3 linked regions of the Saccharomyces cerevisiae S288C genome follow. The gene in region 1 interacts genetically with each later gene. Each region holds a gene or a part of one and is shown in the gene's direction. Other genes may lie near its edges. The genes, in order: ARK1, CDC50 and SCD5.

Region 1 (4,886 bases):
AATACTTTTTAACAAGCAAGTTAGTCTACACATAACTTCGTACTTACCACCGTTTTCTTCTGGCGCGCCTCTTCAAGTAGACTACCACCTCTCTTGTAATAGTTGTTATATATGTTTTCATAGTCTGATTTAAATTTTACGCATATTCATCAATTAACCCAATGCACCAAAAAGGCGGGAAAGAAGCAGTAAAGCAAAGGCTTTACTTAAATGCCAAGTAAGGCCTTTGCCAAGCTTTCTTATCGACAGAAGCAGCCCCAGAAGGTTCCTTCGAGAGAGGCGCGCGTATTTATTCACATCGCGGATCACTGGACCCTTAAAATAAAGGCGCCTATTCACAACATCTGCCACAGAAACAACTGTTCAGTTATCCTAGCAGCAGTTTTTGCACAACGGTATAAACCTGTACAAAACTTTAGCAAGGTTTTTTAACACCAAAAGTGCTTGAAGGACACAACACAAACTATAGAACAGACACTGTTTTCCTGACACTGCTTTCCTGACAAGAGACTCGTTTCTGAATTATTTTTTTTTTCAAACATCTTTGTTTCGCTGGAACCATTGAGTCTTTTCTTCCATTTTTAATCTTTATTCTGCCTCCTTTCCTAAACACAAGTTGATACAACGAGGCTGTCAATAGCAAGAGCGTGCGCGAGATTATGCTTTACTCCAGAGAATCAAGGACAACCGTCCTTTTCCTTGCGTTGGTTACCTCCCTAACCGTACTTTGTCACTCGGTCGATGTAACAACTGTATTTACTACGTCAACAATCACCGAAATCACAACTGTGACTGCCGCACCGCAACCACAAAACAAAGCGGAAACCGCTTTGAATACTGCTACTAACATAATTCAAACCATGCAGTTTCTTTTCAACTGCGCACCATTTAAGTGGAAGGGTCCTTTGAAAATAACTTCTTGTGCGCTGAACTTTATTGTCCTACTACTCACCGCTTGGGGCTATCTTCTGAAGTATCTGCAGGAAAATAAGCTGAATAGCGATGCTGATATGGAAAAAATGGTAGGACTGGGATTTGGGGAAATGGTCGGCAGAATCTTCGGAAAGGGTGTCGGGAAAGCTTTTACTAAAATGGATATCACTCAGAAACTAGTGTACCCGTTCGAAGGAAGCAACCGGCAGAAATGTCTACTCATGACCGTCGGAGAAAACTCGATAGTGCCATTCCACGATTTGTCTACAGAGATATGCTTTGACCAGTACACTCTGGACTCGCTATCCCACCACAACCATGGGAGTATTTCGATTTTAGATGCTGGATCAGTGAGCGCCTTGGGGTTCGCGGATATTTCATCGAAAATGCCCTCTGTAAGCGAACTATACACACTTTTTGGAGATTATACGATAGAAGTACTGGGCGGCATCACTAAACTGGCTTCAACTCTTAACAGAGAGGACTGGCAGGGGGAAAGAAACGGGTTCGCGGTTTTATCGAGAGACCGGCCTAACCAGACGTTACTAAGCGTCCATATGTACTCTTCAAGCTTGCTATAGATGGAGCTGCTCCTGGCTGTACACACCATACACCAACTTACCCCTACATGTACATAGTATCTGTCAGTATTTCACTTAATAGGTCTTAATAAAAATTTCAATCTGTGAACACTCAAACCTGTTTCCCAGTAAAAATATACAGCGGCATTGAGTCTTGCGGCTCGCCAACTTGGAAGCAGCCGGGAATGATACTACTTCAGTGGCTTTTTATAGTACTTTCAAATGGCCAAGGTCTCCATAGTATTAACTTGAAGAGAGAAACACGATGCGCTCCTTACTCCCTTATATTCGTCAAACCTCAGTACAACTATTTAGTATTGTAAATGTAAACACGAGGCAAACTTCTCCATGCCAACGATTTGTAACTACGCTTCATTTAATATGGAGAGCACAATCCAGCTTCTTAATTTTAACACTTCAACCTTGGGTTCCTGAAAACAGTTCCTGACACACTCAACAAGTATGTATGCTGAGCTTACAAGAGCTGCACATTTATCTTGGGGTAATAACGAAAAAAGGCCGCTAACCACGGCTTATTTAGGTTTGTTTATGATTTACGGGTTATTTCGAACTCATGTTTATGCATAGCCCTCTTTCGCCTCGCAGCAATAGGGTCCGAATTCTAAGCCTTGTTGATTTAACTATTCTTTTGGTAAATCAACGTGCAGAAAAAATAATTTTTTCATGATAATAAAATAAGAATAGGCCAAGGAAACATCCTAAAAGTGCTAATTGTTTCTCCTTCGTGGTCCTATATTTTCTTTGCCAACTTCTTTCCCTGAGAAAGAAATATTACTCTGCATAATTAGGTATTTTAAGCAACCAGATAAATCAACATGAATCAACCTCAAATTGGCACTTACAATGTAGGTACACAGTTAACAGTTGGGTCACATCAGGTTGAGATCATTAAATATCTAACAAGCGGTGGGTTCGCTCAAGTATATTCCGCGTTAATCAACCCACCTGACCCACATTCTAATTCAAGCGTTGCATGCTTAAAAAGAGTCATTGTTCCAGACAAACCTAGTCTAAACACTTTAAGAGCTGAAGTAGATGCTATGAGGTTGCTGAAAAACAATAGGTATGTTGTATCTTACATTGATTCTCATGCAGCTAAGGCAATGTTACATAATGGTTCGTATGAAGTATTCGTCTTAATGGAATATTGTGAAAGAGGTGGTCTCATTGATTTTATGAACACAAGGCTACAAAACAGGCTTCATGAATTTGAAATTTTGCAAATAATGAGCCAAGTTACTCAAGGAGTTGCCGCTATGCATGCTTTGCAACCTCCGTTAATTCACCGTGATATAAAGATAGAAAATGTTCTTATCTCAGCCAATAATGAGTACAAGCTTTGTGACTTTGGTTCTGTATGCGGTATTATAAGGCCTCCTAGGAATTCACAAGAGCTATCATATGTTCAGCAAGACATTTTGAAAAACACAACTGCACAGTACCGGTCGCCAGAGATGATTGATACATTTCGCGGTCTGCCGATAGATGAAAAGTCGGATATATGGGCGCTGGGTATTTTTCTATATAAGCTTTGCTATTACACAACACCGTTTGAAAAGGGCGGTGATCTTGCCATATTAAGCGGAAAGTTTGAATTTCCATTGTATCCGAACTACAGTGAACAGTTGAAAGGCTTAATACGTGATATATTGGTTCAAGATCCGCGCCATAGGCCTAACGTTTATCAACTACTGAAGAGGATATCAATTATGCAAAATGTTCCGTGTCCAATAAATGACATACAAGTGGTTCAGGCGCCCAGTAGCCATTTGAATTTGACCGAACTTCATCAGCTTTCGGCAACACAAAATATTCTAAGCTTGAACTCTCCCACAACCATGGAAAATACGATGCCGAACGCTACATTTCAAATCAGCATGGCTGATAATACTACAACAGCACAAATGCATCCTAATAGAAAACCATCACAAATAGCATATGACGCTAGCTTCAGTAATTCCGCCAAAGGTTCTCAACCACTTTTTGACAAATCACAGAATATGTACCACGCATTGGATCCTCCACTTGTTGAACCGCTAGCGAGTAGTGTTTCAAATAATGACAACGAACTCAAGGCAAATTCCGCAACCAAGTTAAAGCAGGCAATTGTCTCTGAAGCACATACTTTTAGGCAGAATAATTCAATAGACTTTCCACTACAAAACATAATACCCCAGTACGAAGATTCTTCTTCCTCTTCAGATGAATCTTATTCTGGAGACGTAGATGAATTAAAGAAAACTCGATCTCTAGGTTCTTATTCCACACGCGGTAACATAAAAAAAAACCAATCCGTAAAGGAATCTCTTACTTCATCAAGCCTACCAGGCACTAGCTTCACCCCAACGTCTACAAAGGTAAATTTGAAACACGAAAATTCACCTTTTAAGTCGACATTCGTTAATACGATTGATAATTCCAAAGACGATCTTAACAAACCATCTTATGAAGATTTGGACGTATCTAAGCAGAATTTGAAGAACTCCATTCAACAGCGTATGATCGATAAACTCAACTCTTCTGAGGAGTCATTCAACGCTAGGAAAATGTCCAAGGTCAAGCTGCATGAGAAAGGGGAGATAGATAAGCCAACAATGCTGAAATCAAGTGGCCCGATTTCAAAAGACAAAAAAACAAAACCTACCCCACCACCTAAGCCTTCACATTTAAAGCCTAAACCTCCTCCAAAACCACTGCTCCTCGCGGGACGAAAGTTATCCTTGGATAAGTGAGTATTTGGCTCAACAGAACCGGATCGATCTCTGAAGAGGCTGGTAACATGTTCAAAGAACCTTTATTACAATGTGTTATATATGTAAGCATCCACTTTAATGTATACGTTTTCCCATAATACTTAGTAAAACACAGCTTAATGCATTTGTTCATTTCTTTTTCCTATTTTAGATATATTGGATTATACAATGAACATTGTAACAACTTTATTATTATTCAACTTTCATAAGGCATGAAGGTTGCCGAAAAAAAATTATTAATGGCCAGTTTTTCCTCATTCTTCATCACTCCATTCTTCAAACGAATCCAGTATAAAGTCTGTAGCCTCTTCAAATCTTTCTTCAATTATATTGTTTAACCCGTCCGTATCACATCTCAAAACTCTACCGAATTTTTTTCTTGGTTTTCTGCTTTCATTTTCTTTCCAGCATTGGTGGCTATTGTTTGAAAATATAAGTGAGTTTTTGAAGTACCATTCACTCAATGTTTCATCTACTAGAGGAACTAGTGGCTTTAACTGCTTGTCTCCCAAGAAATTAATTACCGTTTTAGTAACAGCCCTAGTATCCCTGTGACCAAGCAGATGTACGATACCTGAGTATGAGTCTCCTATTCCAA
Region 2 (4,886 bases), on another chromosome or scaffold:
TCAAAGAGTTCGAAGATACTAAGATAATGCCAGTGAGGAAAGGTACCAAAACCACAAGAACAGAAAAGCTTTACTTAGTATTTACGGAATGGGTAAAATTACTTCAAAGAGTTGAGAATAACGACGTAATCACAACTGTTTTTATCAAGCAATTAGTCGAAAAGGGTGTTATCAGCGATACTGATAATTTACTTACATTTGTCAAAAGTTCTCTTGAGCTATCAGTTTCTTCATTCAAAGAAAGTGACCCGACTGATGAGGTTTTCATCGCTATTGATGCTCTAGGATCGCTAATTATAAAATTGTTGATTTTACAGGGTTTCAAAGATGATACAAGAAGAGATTACATAAATGCAATATTTTCTGTGATCGTTTTAGTGTTTGCTAAGGATCATAGCCAAGAGGGTACCACATTCAATGAACGACCATATTTCAGACTATTTTCTAACATCTTATACGAATGGGCTACCATCAGGACGCACAATTTTGTTAGAATATCTGATTCCAGCACTAGGCAGGAGCTGATCGAATTTGATTCTGTATTTTACAACACTTTCTCAGGATATTTGCACGCTCTGCAACCATTTGCCTTCCCTGGATTCTCATTTGCATGGGTGACACTATTATCACACAGAATGTTATTACCAATTATGCTAAGATTACCCAATAAAATAGGTTGGGAAAAGTTAATGCTTTTGATTATCGATTTGTTTAAATTTTTGGACCAATACACAAGTAAACATGCAGTCTCTGACGCTGTTTCGGTTGTTTATAAGGGAACACTGCGTGTTATTTTAGGCATTTCGAATGATATGCCATCCTTTTTGATTGAAAATCACTATGAATTAATGAACAATCTACCTCCAACATATTTCCAACTAAAGAATGTTATTTTATCTGCTATTCCTAAGAATATGACCGTTCCCAACCCATATGACGTGGATCTTAATATGGAGGATATTCCAGCATGTAAAGAACTACCTGAAGTCTTCTTTGATCCTGTAATTGATTTACACTCATTGAAAAAGCCAGTTGACAACTACCTACGTATTCCCTCAAATTCATTATTAAGAACAATACTAAGCGCTATTTACAAGGATACCTATGACATAAAAAAGGGCGTAGGCTACGACTTTTTATCTGTTGATAGTAAATTAATTCGCGCTATTGTATTACATGTGGGCATTGAAGCTGGAATAGAGTATAAGAGAACTTCTTCAAATGCGGTATTTAATACGAAGTCTTCTTATTATACTTTATTGTTCAATCTGATTCAAAATGGTAGCATCGAAATGAAATATCAAATTATTCTGTCTATTGTGGAACAATTGCGGTATCCAAACATCCACACCTATTGGTTCAGCTTTGTGTTAATGAATATGTTCAAAAGTGACGAATGGAATGATCAAAAACTTGAAGTCCAAGAAATTATTTTAAGAAACTTTTTAAAAAGAATTATTGTTAACAAACCACATACCTGGGGTGTTTCAGTTTTCTTTACTCAGTTGATAAACAATAACGATATTAATCTTTTAGACCTGCCCTTTGTACAAAGTGTTCCCGAAATTAAACTAATTTTACAACAATTAGTAAAATATTCCAAAAAATACACAACCAGTGAACAAGATGACCAATCCGCCACCATCAATAGAAGGCAAACCCCTCTACAATCCAACGCATAAAAAAACTGCATTTATTTATATACGAAAATCATGATTTCAGAAAAAAAAATATAACTTGTATAATACTATATTTCAGAGAATACTATTTTGAATAAGAATAGAAGCAATTTCGATTAACTTTTCTTACTGTATATGGGTCGCTTTCACTTTTGAACTACTGAAAATTAGTGTTACCCGTATTATTGTTTTGGAGAATAATAATAATAATGAGCATCAATTTATATCAAACAAGAGCTGCAATTACCTTATGTCCATGACGCACTGCGAACAAAGAATAATTGAGTAATCGAACTTGAAGTTCTATAGAACAGCTTGTATATGGTTTCATTGTTCAAAAGAGGTAAGGCTCCACCGCTCACGAAAGAAGGCCCCACTTCTAAAAAGCCTCCTAACACAGCGTTTAGACAACAAAGGCTTAAGGCATGGCAACCAATACTGTCTCCTCAAAGTGTGCTTCCGTTGTTAATATTCGTTGCATGTATATTTACTCCTATTGGTATTGGACTCATTGTAAGCGCTACTAAGGTACAAGATCTAACAATTGATTATAGTCATTGTGATACAAAAGCATCTACAACTGCTTTTGAAGATATACCAAAGAAGTACATTAAATATCACTTTAAAAGTAAAGTTGAAAATAAACCACAATGGAGGCTAACCGAAAATGAAAATGGCGAACAATCATGCGAACTGCAGTTCGAAATCCCAAACGATATCAAGAAATCCATTTTTATATATTATAAAATAACCAATTTTTATCAAAATCATCGCAGATATGTCCAATCGTTTGACACAAAGCAAATATTAGGGGAGCCTATCAAAAAAGATGATCTGGATACAAGCTGTAGTCCAATAAGAAGTAGGGAAGACAAAATAATATATCCCTGTGGGTTGATCGCTAATTCCATGTTTAATGATACATTTTCTCAGGTGTTGAGTGGTATAGATGACACAGAAGACTATAATTTAACTAACAAGCATATATCATGGAGTATTGATCGTCACAGATTTAAAACCACCAAGTATAATGCTAGCGATATTGTTCCACCGCCAAACTGGATGAAGAAGTATCCCGATGGGTATACAGATGAAAATCTTCCTGATATCCATACTTGGGAAGAGTTCCAGGTATGGATGAGGACTGCAGCCTTTCCCAAGTTTTACAAGTTGACGTTGAAAAATGAATCTGCTTCTTTACCGAAGGGTAAATATCAAATGAACATTGAGTTGAATTATCCGATTTCACTCTTTGGTGGCACAAAATCATTTGTACTGACTACAAATGGAGCTATTGGTGGTAGAAATATGTCACTAGGCGTACTGTACCTCATCGTTGCAGGGCTTTGCGCCTTATTTGGCATCATTTTTTTGGTTAAATTAATCTTCCAACCAAGAGCGATGGGTGATCACACTTATTTGAATTTTGATGATGAAGAAAACGAGGATTATGAGGATGTACACGCAGAGAATACAACATTGAGGGAAATTTTATAGAGGCCAAAAAACAAACTTTAGTGCCTGTAGGTATTTGTGTTTATAAGTAAACAAGTTTTGTTGACTTCCTGAAACGTAAACAAAAGAAAAATTGAAGTATGCCTTTTTACGCTTGGAAAATAGTGCGACAAAGAACTCCCAGGGTTTGCTATTCCCATTTAGATGATGAAATGATAGAAAAGTGGAAAACGTTTATCATGAAATCATCTATACATATACGTAAAAATGTAAACTATGTAAAAATATGTTCCCTATAAAAGTGATGCTCTTCCGGAACGTTTTCTTTTTCCCACAAATCTCGTTGAAACCTGAACCAATCTGGTAATTCAGAATCACAGGGTATCCTTATTTTGACGTTATCTTTTCCCCTTGCTTTATAATAGCCATAATCTCCATTTTCTTTTTTATTAAATGCTAATCTATACCTATGGCCAAAAATTCCTAGGTCAGAAGAGGTTTTCTTCAAATCGTCTCCTAGAACTCCACTTACTTGTAATACTTTATTATTTTTCACTTTGGTTTCGATTTGATTTATTAATGTCAAAAGCCGCTGAGGCACTTCTGGCTCTCTGCAAAGGTCATCTTCATTTACTCTAATAAGTTTGCCAGAATTGGCCTTATACTCTATCGAATGCGTCCTATTATTCTCAAGGGGCAATTTTTTTGCTTTGTTGTCCACAATTGTCTTATTATCCTTCTCCTGTTCTATCTCAATGTTAATTATTTCTAGAAATGTTTCCGCAAAATAATTTCTATTCTTACCAGAAAATAATCTGTACTCATTTATGATTGATGCAATATTCCATTTCTGAATTTTTCGAAGTATACCAATGACCAACGCGGTCTTATCTACCAATAAAACATTATAATTATCCACATTCAATAATGTTTTGAAAGTTCTTTTTAAACACGTGCTCTTAATCAGCATTAAGTCATCATTGTCAGTCAAGTGGTAAGCCAATTCCTCCTGAATTACAGGATCCCCTGTAGTAGAATTTTGTGACCCATTTGCAGTGGATTTTTTCTTTTCTTCCTGTAATGATAGAGTACTGTTATTATTCGAATATAAATTTGCGTTAGATACAGAAGAGCTTTTTACCGGAACTGCCGCAGCCGAGAAATCAGACATCCTTAAAACAATCCATTTTATGGATGATCTTGTGAAAAAATCTTTGAAAAACTTGGATGGTTCTTGACCTCCAATAAATATAGCTGTCTTTAAATTGAGAGTTTCCAGAAAGGATAAATTTAATGTCTCCACTTTAGAACATCTATATATTCCTTCTTCAGCAATCCCAAAGTTAGCAGGTGGAACCAGCATTATGAATTCAGGTTATGGATCGCACCAGTGCTGTAAGTGTCTCTCTTTTTATTCTACGATCTCCATATAACAACCACATCTCATTTCTTTACCTTACTGTCCATTTAATGCTAGAAAACTTCCGAATATTGTATTATTATTACCCGGATATGTCAAGGCGGTATATTAAGATGTTCCTTTCAAAAGTTTCATTATACCGCATACGGTAAGGACAGCCATAAGTAGTTTTACTGATAAAATATGGGGCTAAAGAACTGTATATTTATGGATAGCACTAAAAGTAAAGATTTTCCCCGTGTCCTGACTTGGAGAAACAAAATTTCATTGTCATAAAAAACTTTTAAAATATGATATTCAAAGCTTGAGCATTGGGCTTCTGGATGACAGTT
Region 3 (4,886 bases), on another chromosome or scaffold:
TCAAGTCAAAGCTCCTCCAGGTTATTGTTTTGTTGGGGCGGACGTGGATAGTGAGGAATTGTGGATAGCATCTTTAGTCGGTGACTCCATTTTCAATGTTCATGGTGGTACCGCCATTGGTTGGATGTGTTTAGAAGGCACTAAAAACGAAGGTACAGATTTGCACACGAAGACTGCTCAAATTTTGGGGTGTTCTCGTAATGAGGCGAAAATTTTTAATTATGGTAGAATTTACGGCGCTGGTGCTAAATTTGCGAGTCAGTTACTTAAAAGGTTTAACCCATCTCTAACTGATGAAGAGACAAAAAAAATTGCGAATAAGTTATATGAAAATACGAAAGGTAAAACGAAAAGATCAAAATTATTCAAAAAATTTTGGTATGGTGGATCTGAGTCAATTCTATTCAATAAATTAGAAAGCATCGCGGAACAAGAAACTCCAAAGACACCGGTACTGGGATGTGGTATTACCTATTCACTTATGAAGAAAAATCTGAGGGCGAATTCCTTTCTACCTTCAAGAATCAATTGGGCCATCCAGTCATCTGGAGTGGATTATCTACATCTTCTTTGTTGCTCCATGGAATATATTATTAAGAAATATAACCTTGAGGCAAGGCTTTGCATTTCCATCCATGATGAGATTAGATTTTTGGTGAGCGAAAAGGACAAATACAGAGCTGCTATGGCTTTGCAAATCAGCAACATATGGACGAGAGCAATGTTTTGCCAGCAAATGGGGATAAATGAATTACCGCAAAACTGTGCCTTTTTCTCGCAAGTAGATATTGATTCTGTCATACGTAAAGAAGTCAATATGGACTGCATAACCCCCTCGAACAAAACCGCCATTCCTCATGGGGAGGCGCTTGATATCAATCAACTGCTAGACAAATCCAATAGTAAATTGGGTAAACCAAATCTCGATATCGACAGCAAAGTATCACAATATGCCTATAACTACAGAGAACCTGTATTTGAAGAATATAATAAATCTTATACTCCAGAGTTCTTAAAATATTTTCTTGCGATGCAAGTCCAGTCAGATAAGCGCGATGTGAATCGGCTAGAAGATGAGTATCTGCGGGAGTGTACATCCAAAGAATACGCTAGAGATGGGAACACTGCAGAGTACAGCCTCCTAGACTATATAAAGGATGTCGAGAAGGGCAAAAGGACTAAAGTACGTATTATGGGATCCAATTTTTTAGATGGTACCAAAAATGCCAAAGCTGATCAACGAATCAGATTACCTGTCAATATGCCAGATTATCCCACACTTCATAAAATTGCTAACGATTCAGCAATCCCAGAAAAGCAATTGCTGGAGAACAGGAGAAAGAAGGAAAACAGGATAGATGACGAAAATAAGAAAAAATTAACCAGAAAAAAGAATACCACGCCTATGGAAAGGAAGTACAAAAGAGTGTATGGTGGCAGGAAGGCATTTGAAGCGTTCTATGAATGTGCAAATAAACCGTTAGACTATACTTTGGAGACAGAAAAACAATTCTTTAATATTCCTATAGATGGAGTGATTGACGACGTTCTGAACGACAAATCTAATTATAAAAAGAAACCATCACAAGCAAGAACGGCATCATCATCGCCAATAAGAAAGACTGCGAAAGCAGTACATTCCAAAAAATTGCCGGCAAGGAAGTCAAGCACTACAAATAGAAATTTGGTTGAGCTGGAAAGGGACATTACTATTTCTAGAGAGTACTAGGCAAAATCTGCATTAGCTTTCGCATTTGTATTTATATATACAGCACATTATAATATTATTTTTTTATTTATTTCTACTTACTTTTTTTCGCCAAATGAGAAAACAAAAGTAAGTTGCCCCTATTAGAAAAAGAGTTAACATTAGGAAACGGGGACAAAACAAAAGGTAGAATTCAAAATAGGAATTCAAAACCCAAATTATCTGCATCTTCTCGTTAGCTAAGATTTTATAGATCATTGCAGGCTCGATAAATTTTACATGGTAACGAAACATGTCGTTTGATTGGCTTAATGTTCCGGGATTGGACTTAAGCAGCGGGGACCAAGCAGAAAAGAGGCCATCGAATGGATTAGGACCACCCAGTGTGTCTTTTGATTTTGGTATAAATACTGCTGCTCCACATGATTCCAGCTTTTGGGATCAGGGATCAAGAAGTCACAGTGATACAACTTTGTCTTACAGAAATAATCACTCAAATACAGCAGCTGATAATGCCACTAACGTGAGCTCTCCTCAAAAGGATAATCCACCTAATGGGGAGGTACGAACACTTTCTGGAGGCGATGTGTACGCGGAGTCACCAGAAGACATGCAAGTCCCATTGTCTTTATCACAAAACCAACTTACCCATGAAGAAATAAGGACATATCTAAGATGGTACCACTATATATGTTTGAGAACCCATGGAAAACTAGTAAGATTGAACGACGTGTTTAGGTTCTTGACCAATTTTAATTTATCACAAAAAGTAAAAGATAGAATTGTGGAAATTTTCCGTAGCTGTAAAAATGCGTTAAATATTGGTCAATTTTTCGCTGTTTTAAGATTAGTTTCTAGAGCTATTATATATGGCATCTTACCTCTAAGACGCATGATCTTGGAAAAGGCACCTGTTCCCAAACCACGTCCTATCCTAAGTAGTGAGAATCACGAAGAGGTGTACGAGGAGGTGGAAGACGATGATAGTTCTGCCAAAACTGGTGATCAAAAGGTCGATTTTGACTCATTTGCTTCATTGCTGTTGACTGGTAAGACAACGAGAAAAAGAGTCAGGAGAAGAATCAAAAATTTGAATTTTAAGAGTAAGAAGGTTAGGTTTTCAGAGCATATAACATTTCAAGACCCTCCAAACCTCAATCAAGAATCATCTAATAATAGTGAAGCAAGAAAGCAAGATCCTGATGCAGAAGATGAAGATCAGGATTCTAATAATGACAGTCCTTTGGATTTCACATTGCCCATGGATCAATTATTAAAGAGGCTATATAAGCGGAGAAAAAACAGCGGATTAGTTTCGAGTTTGCCCAGCGAACAACAAGAAACTGAGGAGGAGAAGAAAGTTTTGGAGGATATGAAGGATTCCTTGTCCCATTTCAAACAAATACAGACTGTTGATTCTGCCTCATTGCCAATTTCATCGGTATTTTTACAGAATGGCAATACTCTACCAACTAGCAATGTGAATAACACCACTGTTCCACAGCAACTTCCGTTAGAACCTTTGAAGCCAACCGCCACAGGTTCAGCTAATCACCTGGTGCGAGAAGAATATAATCAGGGGTTGCATCCAAGCAACGGTGCCATCCAAACAGGTTTACAACCTTTAAAACCAACAGCAACGGGCTCTGCAAATTATTTGATGCGAAGTCATATGGAACAACCTCAGTCTATCAAACCTTCGAGTACACCAGAAACAGTTACAAACTCTGGGGGACTTCAACCTTTGAAACCTACCGCCACAGGTTCTGCAAATTACTTGATGAAACAGCATATCTCACCTTCAGTTAATAACCCAGTATCTTCGATGTTTCAGGCGCAATTTACGAACCAATCTTCATCTCCACAAAGTACAGGACCAGCATTTCTGAATTCTCCGAACATTACTCTTCCTCAAAGCAATCAACAGCAACCTTACCAAGAGGTTAATCCGACTCAAGCGAAAATTGAACCATCTAACATATCGCCTCAACACACCTACTCTAACAATGTTCGGATTAATAATGGTAACATCGTATCCATGCCGAAAGTAGAAATAACTGGTGCATTCCCCCCTCAAAACACTCTTCCTCAACATCAGCAATCGCATTTGCTTTCTCCTCAAAATACGATCCCGCAGCACCAACGGTCGCAATTGATATCTCCACAAAATACCTTCACTCAAAATCAGCCCATTCTTTCTCCGCAACATACTTATTCCAATAATCAAGCAACAATGATATCCCCCCAGAATACGTATACTAATAATCAACAGCAGCCCCAACATCTTCCACCTCCTCCACCTCCACGCGCTCAGCAGCAGCAACAAGGGGCCATTGTGCCACCTCAACATATGTACTCTAACGTGCAAAAGCAGAATAATTTGGTGCCGACCCAACCCTCCTATACAAATTCACCAAGCATACAATCTCCAAATTTTTTGTCACCTCAGAATGCTGCTAATAGTTACTTTCAATCTTTACTTTCTTCTTCACCATCTCCAAATCCTACGCCATCAAATGCGTCTACTGTTAATGGCAATAACGCCAGTAATGGCATAAGTTCATTCCAAAATACTAGTGCGGCAATGAACAATACTCAATCTCATCAGACGTATATTCAGCAGCAACAACAACAACAAACTCAACAACGAATATATGGTGGCCAACTTTCTCAAATGCAACAACATCCGGGGCAACTTCACTTAAACAACAGTGATATACATAGCCAACCTAACAAGCCTAATTACGGAATGCTAGGGCAGCAAGTTCATCAACAGCAACAGCAACAGCAGCAGCAATTTCCATTCACTGCAGATGTTAATAGATCCAATTCAAGCGATATTTTGGGTAACTTGCAGTCATTGCAGCAGCAAGTCGATGCTTTACAAATCCAATATAATAGGAGACCATAGTATCGTAAGCTAAACGAGGTGTATAGTTTTGAAAGATAATATATGTAGGTATATGTGTACATAAAGTCACAAAAGTGATGTAATTTATGAACACCTGTTTACTAGCATTATTTATTGTCTTGATTATTGAGCTAGTCTTTTAGTTTCACCAAACATTTAGCAACATGGCGTAAACCTCTGAACAATAGTTAACTAATTTTGCATATACAATGAATGTAGCCAGTAATATTTAATTATTTCTTTAATTTTTTGCTTTTCTTTGGAACC

The links.
Region 2: mutations in ARK1 (region 1) and CDC50 together harm fitness more than expected from each alone (negative genetic interaction), as found in Saccharomyces cerevisiae (2 studies listed by BioGRID).
Region 3: of ARK1 (region 1) and SCD5, a mutation in one rescues a mutant of the other (synthetic rescue), as found in Saccharomyces cerevisiae (one study listed by BioGRID).

Annotation. Positions count from the first base shown.
Region 1 is NC_001146.8:595,004-599,889, reverse strand, and holds ARK1 (serine/threonine protein kinase ARK1), read left to right. Parts: upstream 1-2,350; coding exon 2,351-4,267; downstream 4,268-4,886. Other genes in the region: YNL019C (uncharacterized protein), read left to right, coding at 660-1,514; histone deacetylase HDA1, read right to left, coding at 4,543-4,886. UniProt on the Saccharomyces cerevisiae protein: Involved in regulation of actin cytoskeleton organization and endocytosis.
Region 2 is NC_001135.5:284,762-289,647, forward strand, and holds CDC50 (aminophospholipid translocase regulatory protein CDC50), read left to right. Parts: upstream 1-2,000; coding exon 2,001-3,176; downstream 3,177-4,886. Other genes in the region: CCR4-NOT core subunit CDC39, read left to right, coding at 1-1,682; OCA4 (Oca4p), read right to left, coding at 3,409-4,497; YCR095W-A (uncharacterized protein), read left to right, coding at 4,878-4,886.
Region 3 is NC_001147.6:936,464-941,349, reverse strand, and holds SCD5 (Scd5p), read left to right. Parts: upstream 1-2,000; coding exon 2,001-4,619; downstream 4,620-4,886. Other genes in the region: DNA-directed DNA polymerase gamma MIP1, read left to right, coding at 1-1,729; ATP-binding cassette multidrug transporter PDR10, read right to left, coding at 4,853-4,886. UniProt on the Saccharomyces cerevisiae protein: Regulates both fluid phase and receptor-mediated endocytosis. Involved in vesicular transport at a late stage of the secretory pathway. Regulates actin cytoskeleton organization.